2 linked regions of the Elephas maximus indicus genome follow. The protein of the gene in region 2 interacts with the protein of the main gene of each other region in a pairwise test. Links are inferred from orthologs where the notes say so. Each region holds a gene or a part of one and is shown on either strand. Other genes may lie near its edges.

Region 1 (3,745 bases), on a different chromosome or scaffold from region 2:
GCTTTAAGAAAGAGAAATTTATTCCTCACAGTCTAGTAGGCTACAAGGCCAAATTGAGGGCATCACCTCCAGGGGCAGGCTTTCTCTGTCGGCTCTGGAGGAAGGTCCCTGTCATCAATCTTCCCTGGTCGAGGAGCTTCTCAGCACAGGGGCGCCGGGTCCAAAGAATGCACTTTGCTCCTAGCTCTGGCTTCTTGGTGGTATGAAGTCCCCATGTCTCTCTGCTCGCTCCTCTCTATTCTATCTCAAAAGAGACTGGTTTAAGATACAATCTAATCTCGTAGATGGAGTCCTGCCTCATTAAAATAACTGCCGCTAATCCCATCTCATCAACATTGTAGGGATAGGATTTACCCCACATAGGAAAATCACATCAGATGACAAAATGGTGGACAATCACACAATACTGGGAATCATGGCCTAGTCAAATTGATATTTTTGGGGGACACAGTTCAATCCATGACAATCAGGCACAGAAAAGTGCCCCACACACGGCAGGCACTCAAGAAATATTTCTTTATGAATGTTATAACTGAAATGCATTTTTAAATCCTTTAGTGCCAGAATAAACTGCTGACACAGGACAGACAACGGAACCAAAGGGACCCAGGAGGACAGTTGAGAGTCCAGGCACGGCAATCAGCTGATCTGGGGTCAAATCAGCTCCTCCACACTCCGCCATGAAACCTCAAAGTACTCAACGTCTCTGAGTCTCAGTCTCCTTATCCGGAAAATGGGCAAACCCTGGCACCTAAGTCACAGGTGGCTGTGAACACTGTGACACGTTCTGAATGTTCAATAAGTAGCCCTATTATCATCACTGTCCACAGAACTCAAGACTAAGGAGACATTGGACCATCTACTTGCACTGGTATTTTAAAACCACGTCCATGCTTTAAACAGCTTTTGTGAAGACAGAAACAAAATTCCTCTAGTGACTCTTTCAAAACACACTTAATTACTGCCCCCATATTAGGGCAACTGGTACATATCTGGGTAAGAAATCACTTCCCAGCATTGTCTGAACTTGGATTTTTTTTTTTCATGAGGGAGAAAATGGACTCATTGCAGCTGTTTCTCCTGAAAAGCAACATGATGCAATTTGTGCTGCACTTCTTGACCAAATAAAGGCAATCTTTCTACAGGGCTCAAAGAGAAGCAGCCCTGGTGACCTTCACCTGTCACCTCTGCACCTGGGGGCAGCTCTCCTGGGCATTCAAGTGCTCCACTGTATCACCTGCTCCCCACAACACTGCCAGGAGACTTGAACCTTGCCCTCTGTTTTGCTGAGGTAACCTAGGTTTCTTCAGAGAGGCTAAGTAACCTGCCCAACACCACACAGTAAAGAGGTGCAGAAGATGGGTTCTGAATCCAGGTGTTGGAACCTGGGTTGTGATACTGAGGACGAAGGTCAGGCTGGTTGCCTAGAAGATCCTAAAGGAGGAAATAGCCCTTAAGTAAACATCACCCAGTCCAAGTGTTTCCGAGAAAAGGGTGGCGCATGACTCATCCACAGTCATGCGCAAGCAACTTGAAAACAAAACCGAAACCGAAGCCCGTTGCCATCAAGTGGATTCTGACAGACCGTATAGGCCAGAAGAGAACTACCCCACAGGTTTCCAAAGAGCGTTGGATTTGCACTGCTGACCTTTTGATTAGCAGCCCCGTGGTTAACCACTGTGCCACCATGGCTCTTGCAAGCAACTTTACTGCCCCATAAACCACAAAGCTGGGTACACTGGTGAAGGGTTGCAAGGTCGCCTGTAGCCTGGGAGTCCACAGGCCTTTTTCACCTCCTCGAGACCACTCCATGAGCCCCTGCAGCAAGGCTAGTCCGACAATGAGGGTACTAGCTTACAGGTATTGAGCCTGGACTGAGGCTCTTTTGTGCACCATCACCTCCATCCATGCCTGCAGCCACCCTCAGCCCGGGATCCCATCATTCCCATTTAACAGGCAGGCACAGACAAGGTCAAGGTCCTACAGCCGGCAAGCAGAAGTGAGGGGACTGGTTCCACCAGGCCTCTCTGACCTGGAGTCCTTGGTGTTAACTGCGGTGCCAGACATCGCACCCCTCCTTTCTAGCAGCGCAGTGGTTAAGAGCGCGGCTGCAAACTAAAGGGTCCGGCAGTTCGAATCCACCAGCCGCACCTTGGAAACCTAGGGTCGCTATGATTCGCAATCGACTCGACCGCAAAAGATTTTGCGGCCGGGGGGCAGAAGCGGGGAGGCGGGATTCTAGCAAAATCCGTATAGTATGGGGTGTCCTAAGCCCCCTGGCAAGGAGGGAAGGGAGGACAAGCTGAGCAAAGCAAGCGGGGCTAGGGGCGGGGTAAACCGTTCCCCCAAAGTTTCAACGCCTGTCGTCCGGGCCGCCCTCCCCGCTCCTACCACCACACCACCCCGCTCCTAGCTGTCTCCAAACTGCGCTCGCAACGGCGGAAACCACGCATGAAACGAGCGAGGGAGAGGGAGAGGGCAGGCGGAGGGGAGGCCGCAGTTACCATTCCCAAGGCCGTCGGGCAGCCAGAGCTAGCCGCTCCGTCGGTCACTCCGGTGCGGGGGTCTGAGGGGCCGCTGTAGCGAAAGCGAAAGTAAAAGCCCGCGTGCTTCAGGGGGAGGAGCCGCCGGGGCAGGGCGCGGAGCCGAGCGAGACTGCGGGTACCGCCCCTGATTCGGGACCCGGCGCTCCCCAAAATTGACGGCGCGCAAGATGACCTGTGTCACTGTCGAGGGGAGCGCGCACCGCCGGGGAGAGCGCGCACCATCCCCGAAGAGGGCACTCTTCGCACCCGAGAGCGTGCCTCACGAAGTCTGCGGAGTTAAATCCCGCCGTTGCGCGCACAGTTCCGGGAAGCGCTTATTCTGCAAAAGTGCCGCTTTTACAGTGACCCAGGGGAGCGCTCCCTGAAGACTCAGCGGCGCGCAAAGTGATCCGGTCGCGATGACCACCCACCCTCGGTCCCCAACGCCGCCCCCGCGGCTGCCCCTAGAGTAGGACCTCGATCTTGGCCTTCGCATCACCGCGGATACCGAGTTCCCAGAGCCAGAGGGCTCGTCCCCAGCCTGACCCTTGACCCCAGTCTGTGCTGCTCCTGTCCCTCGGGCCGCTCCGGACCTATATCTATAACAGTTACCTTCGCCCCCTCCGGCCAGCCGTGGGATCTGCTGAGGTCTTCCCGGCTCCCAGACGTTGCTTCCACTTGGAAATTTGCCCTCGTGGGCGCGAGGATGCCAGCTTAGCCTTCTCAGGTTCCAACCTTGCCACACAGCCAGTTTTGGGCGAAGCAGCTTCAGAATCTTTCAGGAAATATTTTTTGAGCGCCCCCATGCGTCAGGCACTGAGCGTGTGGCCGGGAATAAATCAAGGATAGGAGAGAGTTCGTACCCAGTGGTTCTACCTCACCCTTACCGCCTCTACCAGCCTCTCCTCCAGTCTGTCTTCACCCCTCGGCTTCCAACACCTTTCTCTCAAGACCCCTCAGGAGAGCAACTAATTAACCCAGGCACACTGACGTTGTAAATATCTGTAAAGAAATTATGGTTTTATTCATACCAAAGATATTCGCTTTAAAAAAGAACTCTCGAAGCCTTGAGACAAAGGCATGAAACCTTTATGATATGATGTCAGATAAGAACTGTATCTTTTTGTTTGCTTGCTTGCTTTTCCCTGGGCCTAAGACTTCACTGTTGTCTCTAAAATCTCACCACGTAAAGGGCATTTTCTTGATTTGAAGAAAGACTG
Region 2 (3,745 bases):
TTTCTATTATTCCACTACAAACAGGTTAGAAAGCAAGAGAAGCTGAGAATTTTTCCTAAATAGAATGGAACTTGTCATTGTCTGCACTGGCGCTTCTCACTCCTCTGCTGCCATTTTTAGCAAGTACTCCTTGTCAATCTTGAAGAGTCTCCATCCCTCTTCGCTGGACAGATCAGAAGCACCTCTTCTTTTGTAGAAGTTGATAGATGGTTCGTTCCATTCTGCCACCAAGAAGTGCATGCTGCTGCAGCGACATTTCATAGCAACCTATTGTTAAGGGGGAGGAGGAAAACAAAACTCAGTGACATTTCACCTGCTTTCCCCAGACCTAAATTTGATTCAGTCATTAAAATAAATCCAGTAATCCTTACAAATTAAGAAGCCAAAGACTAAGACATACCTGGCTTAGATTCTTCAGAATTTCTGATCCTATGCCAAAGCCTAAAAGAGAAGTACAATTAAAAACATTTTAAGGATTTAACGCCCTATATTTCTCTTTAAACCCACTCCTCTGTACTCAGCCATACCTCTATAATCGCTCATCACAAAGAAGTCCTCAAGATACAACAGCTTGCCAATCCACGGGTCATATGTAAAATAGTACATGGCAAAACCAACAATGCTGTGTCCTGTAATAAGAGTATCACATGAGTTCTAGAGAAGAAAAATCCACAAAAGTTGTAGCTGCAAAACAGAAGCCTATCACAGGTTTTAAAAAAAACAGACATGCATATATTATAGAAACAAGTAGCCACTAAATTAAGACTGTCTCCTTTTATGATAGTGCAGCCCAGGCCACTGTTGGACAACCTCACTGTTTTCAGAACACTTATTTGCAAAAAGCACACATTAGAGCTAGTTGAAGCCAGGCTAGAACTGTGGGCTGGCCTCTCTTCAATCTGCTGGAGCTCACACTCAGGAAGCAAGAATGCTTTAATTACTTGCCAGAGCTAAACTGCTATGGTTTTTAAAGTAAACACACATATTATTCACATCCTACTGATATACTGGTATGCTGATTGGGGAATAAGTCAGGTTTACACGGCAGTTCAGAATATTAATTGTGTTGTCTGGAAACTCTGCTTCCTTAAGGTCAGATCAGGCTAAAGGTGCAACGTTTAATTTCAGAACTTGCCTTCCAATTCACACATATCCCAATTTGCTTTCCCCAGTTTTAAAGCCAGAAGCAGCAGCAGTAGCCACGAACAGCTATTATGTAACATCCATAAGTCTTAAAAAGCACCTCATTTCTTCTAGCTTGGGGAACCAACTTCAGAAAAAGCTTAAGAAATCTCCCACCCAAACAACTTCCCCTTTTAGCTCTTATCTTCTGACCAGTCAACAAGGACCAGCAAAAATATGAAAACTAAAACAAAAAAACCAAGCATCGGATTCTGTCTTAACAGGTATCCACAATTCCAAAGGGAGGCAAAGGTTTTAAATTAAACTTTCAAGCCATTTTATATTCCTTTGCAAACAAACAGGAAGCGAGTATAATGAAGTTTCTGATCTACCGTGTTTTAAGTGTGTGATAATAGGGCCTTACCTCATTTATCATGATCATCTACTTTATTGTGTAAAGGATCTTTTAGTTACCTCCCCGCCCATCCATGTACACGGAAGGGCCATGTACATGGCGAAGCTAGAGACTGTAACCTGAAGATTGGGACAAATTAAAGAAAAAAATGCAATTTAACACAATTACAAAAAAGGTTACGTTAGGGTCAAACAAGAACCATTTTATGAAACTGAATTACAACAAAAGACATTATACCTAACTTTTCTGGGTCTTCACAGCACTGATAATTAAACAGTTCTTTTCCTGCTTCCGTAAAGATTACAGCCGAAAAAACCCTAGGGGCAGTTCTACTGTCACATGACGTCTCCACGAGTCGGAAACGACTAGATGGCACCCAACAACATTAAGTGCGGCACATGTATTGTTTTTGTTTTTTCCTCCTCAGTAGTTTTCCACACTGGCTGGCTATTATTTCTGGCCAACTTCTCACTAAGTAACTTGGGCCTGGGTAGTTAGTGGTTCTACACAGCAGACACTACGTTTTACACAACACTCAGTCTCTCTGACCAGCTTCTGGAAGGGGAGGGGTGGCTACCTTCCGGAGTCCAGTGCTCCTTGGGCACTTCTGCAACCAGACAGTGGTAAAAGGGGTGCTCTCCGAAACCATCTTCTAACAGATCTGCAAGGAGGGACACAGTGTTGGCTTCGGGGTGGGTGAGAGGCACCGGACTCTTGTCCCTCCCCCCTGCCCCACTGTTGCGTTACCTTTCTCAGTTAACCTTACTTTCTCTTCCATGTATTCATATTTAGCCAGTTCCTGGGGCGAGGCACGCAGAAGAAAAAAGAGAGAACAGAAAACAAAGTGAGGCCACCGACAACTCAGAGGAAGGGGATGAGGCTCGGGAGGGGAGGGCGGCAGGAGAGGGCGGGGCAGGGGCAGGGGAACCGCCCCGGCTCTCCAGCAGCGACCCAGTCCCAGAGACCCACACTCTCCCCGGAAAGAGGCCGCCCCACCCTGGCCCAGGAGGCGCCCGAGCCGCCAGCTACCTTGATCAGCCGCAGGATATCACTGCAGTCGGCGGCGGTGGCTGGGCGGATCACGAATTTAGCCATTTTCGTCTTTTGCTTTTCTTCCCTTTGCGGACCAAGCCCCTGTACTTGAACAGCAGGAGGAGGTGGTTCCTCATTCGTCTCCCGGGAGCTTCCTTTTCTCAGTCAGGCTGGCACCATGACCCGGCGAACTTCGGCAAGCGACAAAAAACCCTCACCAGAGCGAAGACTAACGCTACGCGTAGAAGCTGCGGCCAGCGCCGCTTTTTTAGTGCGAAGGAGCCCCGCCCCGGGCCGTGAGGCGGAGGCATCTCGCCCAATGAGATCGCGGCCCTCCCCCCTGCCCCCACCCCTTTTCCCCCGGCTTCGCTCTCAATTCCGAGCCCGTGTGAGCTGAGCAGGCGCGAGCGGGGGCGGTGACCGAGAGTAGCCTGGGGCGCGGCGGCTTCGCGCAGCGGCGCTCTCTAGCGGCGCCCTCTTGCGGCGCCTCATGGAATATTCCCGGAAACCGCGCGCCCCAGTAATTTTTGCAAATAATGGAATTTCCCCTGTGTCCCCCAACCTGTGACCTTGCTGCCTTCTCCTTGGCCCGTCGGTGAACCAAATTCTGGAGACCTGGCATTGGACGGTCGGAGAAGGTCTAAGGCAGAACTATTTTCATAATAATAGTAACGTCATTTGACTTTTTAAATCTCGGAATTTTCCAAAGGTGACCCGTTGTGTGATGACGTCATCGCTCTGATGACTAAAGGACTGTGTTCGTGTATCTTGTGTTTTCTAGAACTTTCTAAGGTAAGCTGTTTAGGTTCTTCAGTTTCTTTTTCTTATTCTTGCAATTGTTTTTAGAGTTAGTGAAGTTTTTTCTTTGTTACGTATCCCCCGCCCCACTATTCCTTTTTAAATCTCTGACTTGTGGAAACTCTTTTCTTCTGCCTGAGGTACATTCTTCATAATTTCCTTCAGTGAAGGTTTGCTTTTGTCAAACTTTCTCAGTTTTGCTGAATATGTCTTCACTTCATCTTAAATTTCTTGAAGAATTTTTTTTCATTGCTTATAAAATTTGAGGTTGAAAATTATTTTCTCTTCTACATATTGATGTATTATTTGGCTATCTTTTGGCTTCCAGTGCTGTAGAAAAGTTAATTGTTTAGAAAGTTAATTGTTTAAAATTAATAC

What was found. The genes of interacting proteins can lie anywhere in the genome.
Region 1: the proteins of SAT1 (region 2) and CASP7 interact in binary tests that used the Homo sapiens proteins (3 or more experiments, as listed by UniProt). The two-hybrid records come from large-scale screens. The link is inferred for Elephas maximus indicus from reciprocal best matches to the Homo sapiens genes SAT1 and CASP7.

What each region holds. Positions count from the first base shown.
Region 1 is NC_064834.1:64,644,361-64,648,105, reverse strand, and holds the start of CASP7 (caspase-7), read right to left. Parts: upstream 2,831-3,745; 5' UTR 2,508-2,830; coding exon 2,505-2,507; intron 1-2,504. UniProt on the Homo sapiens protein: Thiol protease involved in different programmed cell death processes, such as apoptosis, pyroptosis or granzyme-mediated programmed cell death, by proteolytically cleaving target proteins.
Region 2 is NC_064846.1:155,343,904-155,347,648, forward strand, and holds the start of SAT1 (diamine acetyltransferase 1), read right to left. Parts: upstream 2,825-3,745; 5' UTR 2,633-2,824; coding exon 2,567-2,632; intron 2,337-2,566; coding exon 2,285-2,336; intron 2,199-2,284; coding exon 2,115-2,198; intron 630-2,114; coding exon 528-629; intron 442-527; coding exon 401-441; intron 268-400; coding exon 97-267; 3' UTR 1-96. UniProt on the Homo sapiens protein: Enzyme which catalyzes the acetylation of polyamines. Substrate specificity: norspermidine = spermidine >> spermine > N(1)-acetylspermine. This highly regulated enzyme allows a fine attenuation of the intracellular concentration of polyamines.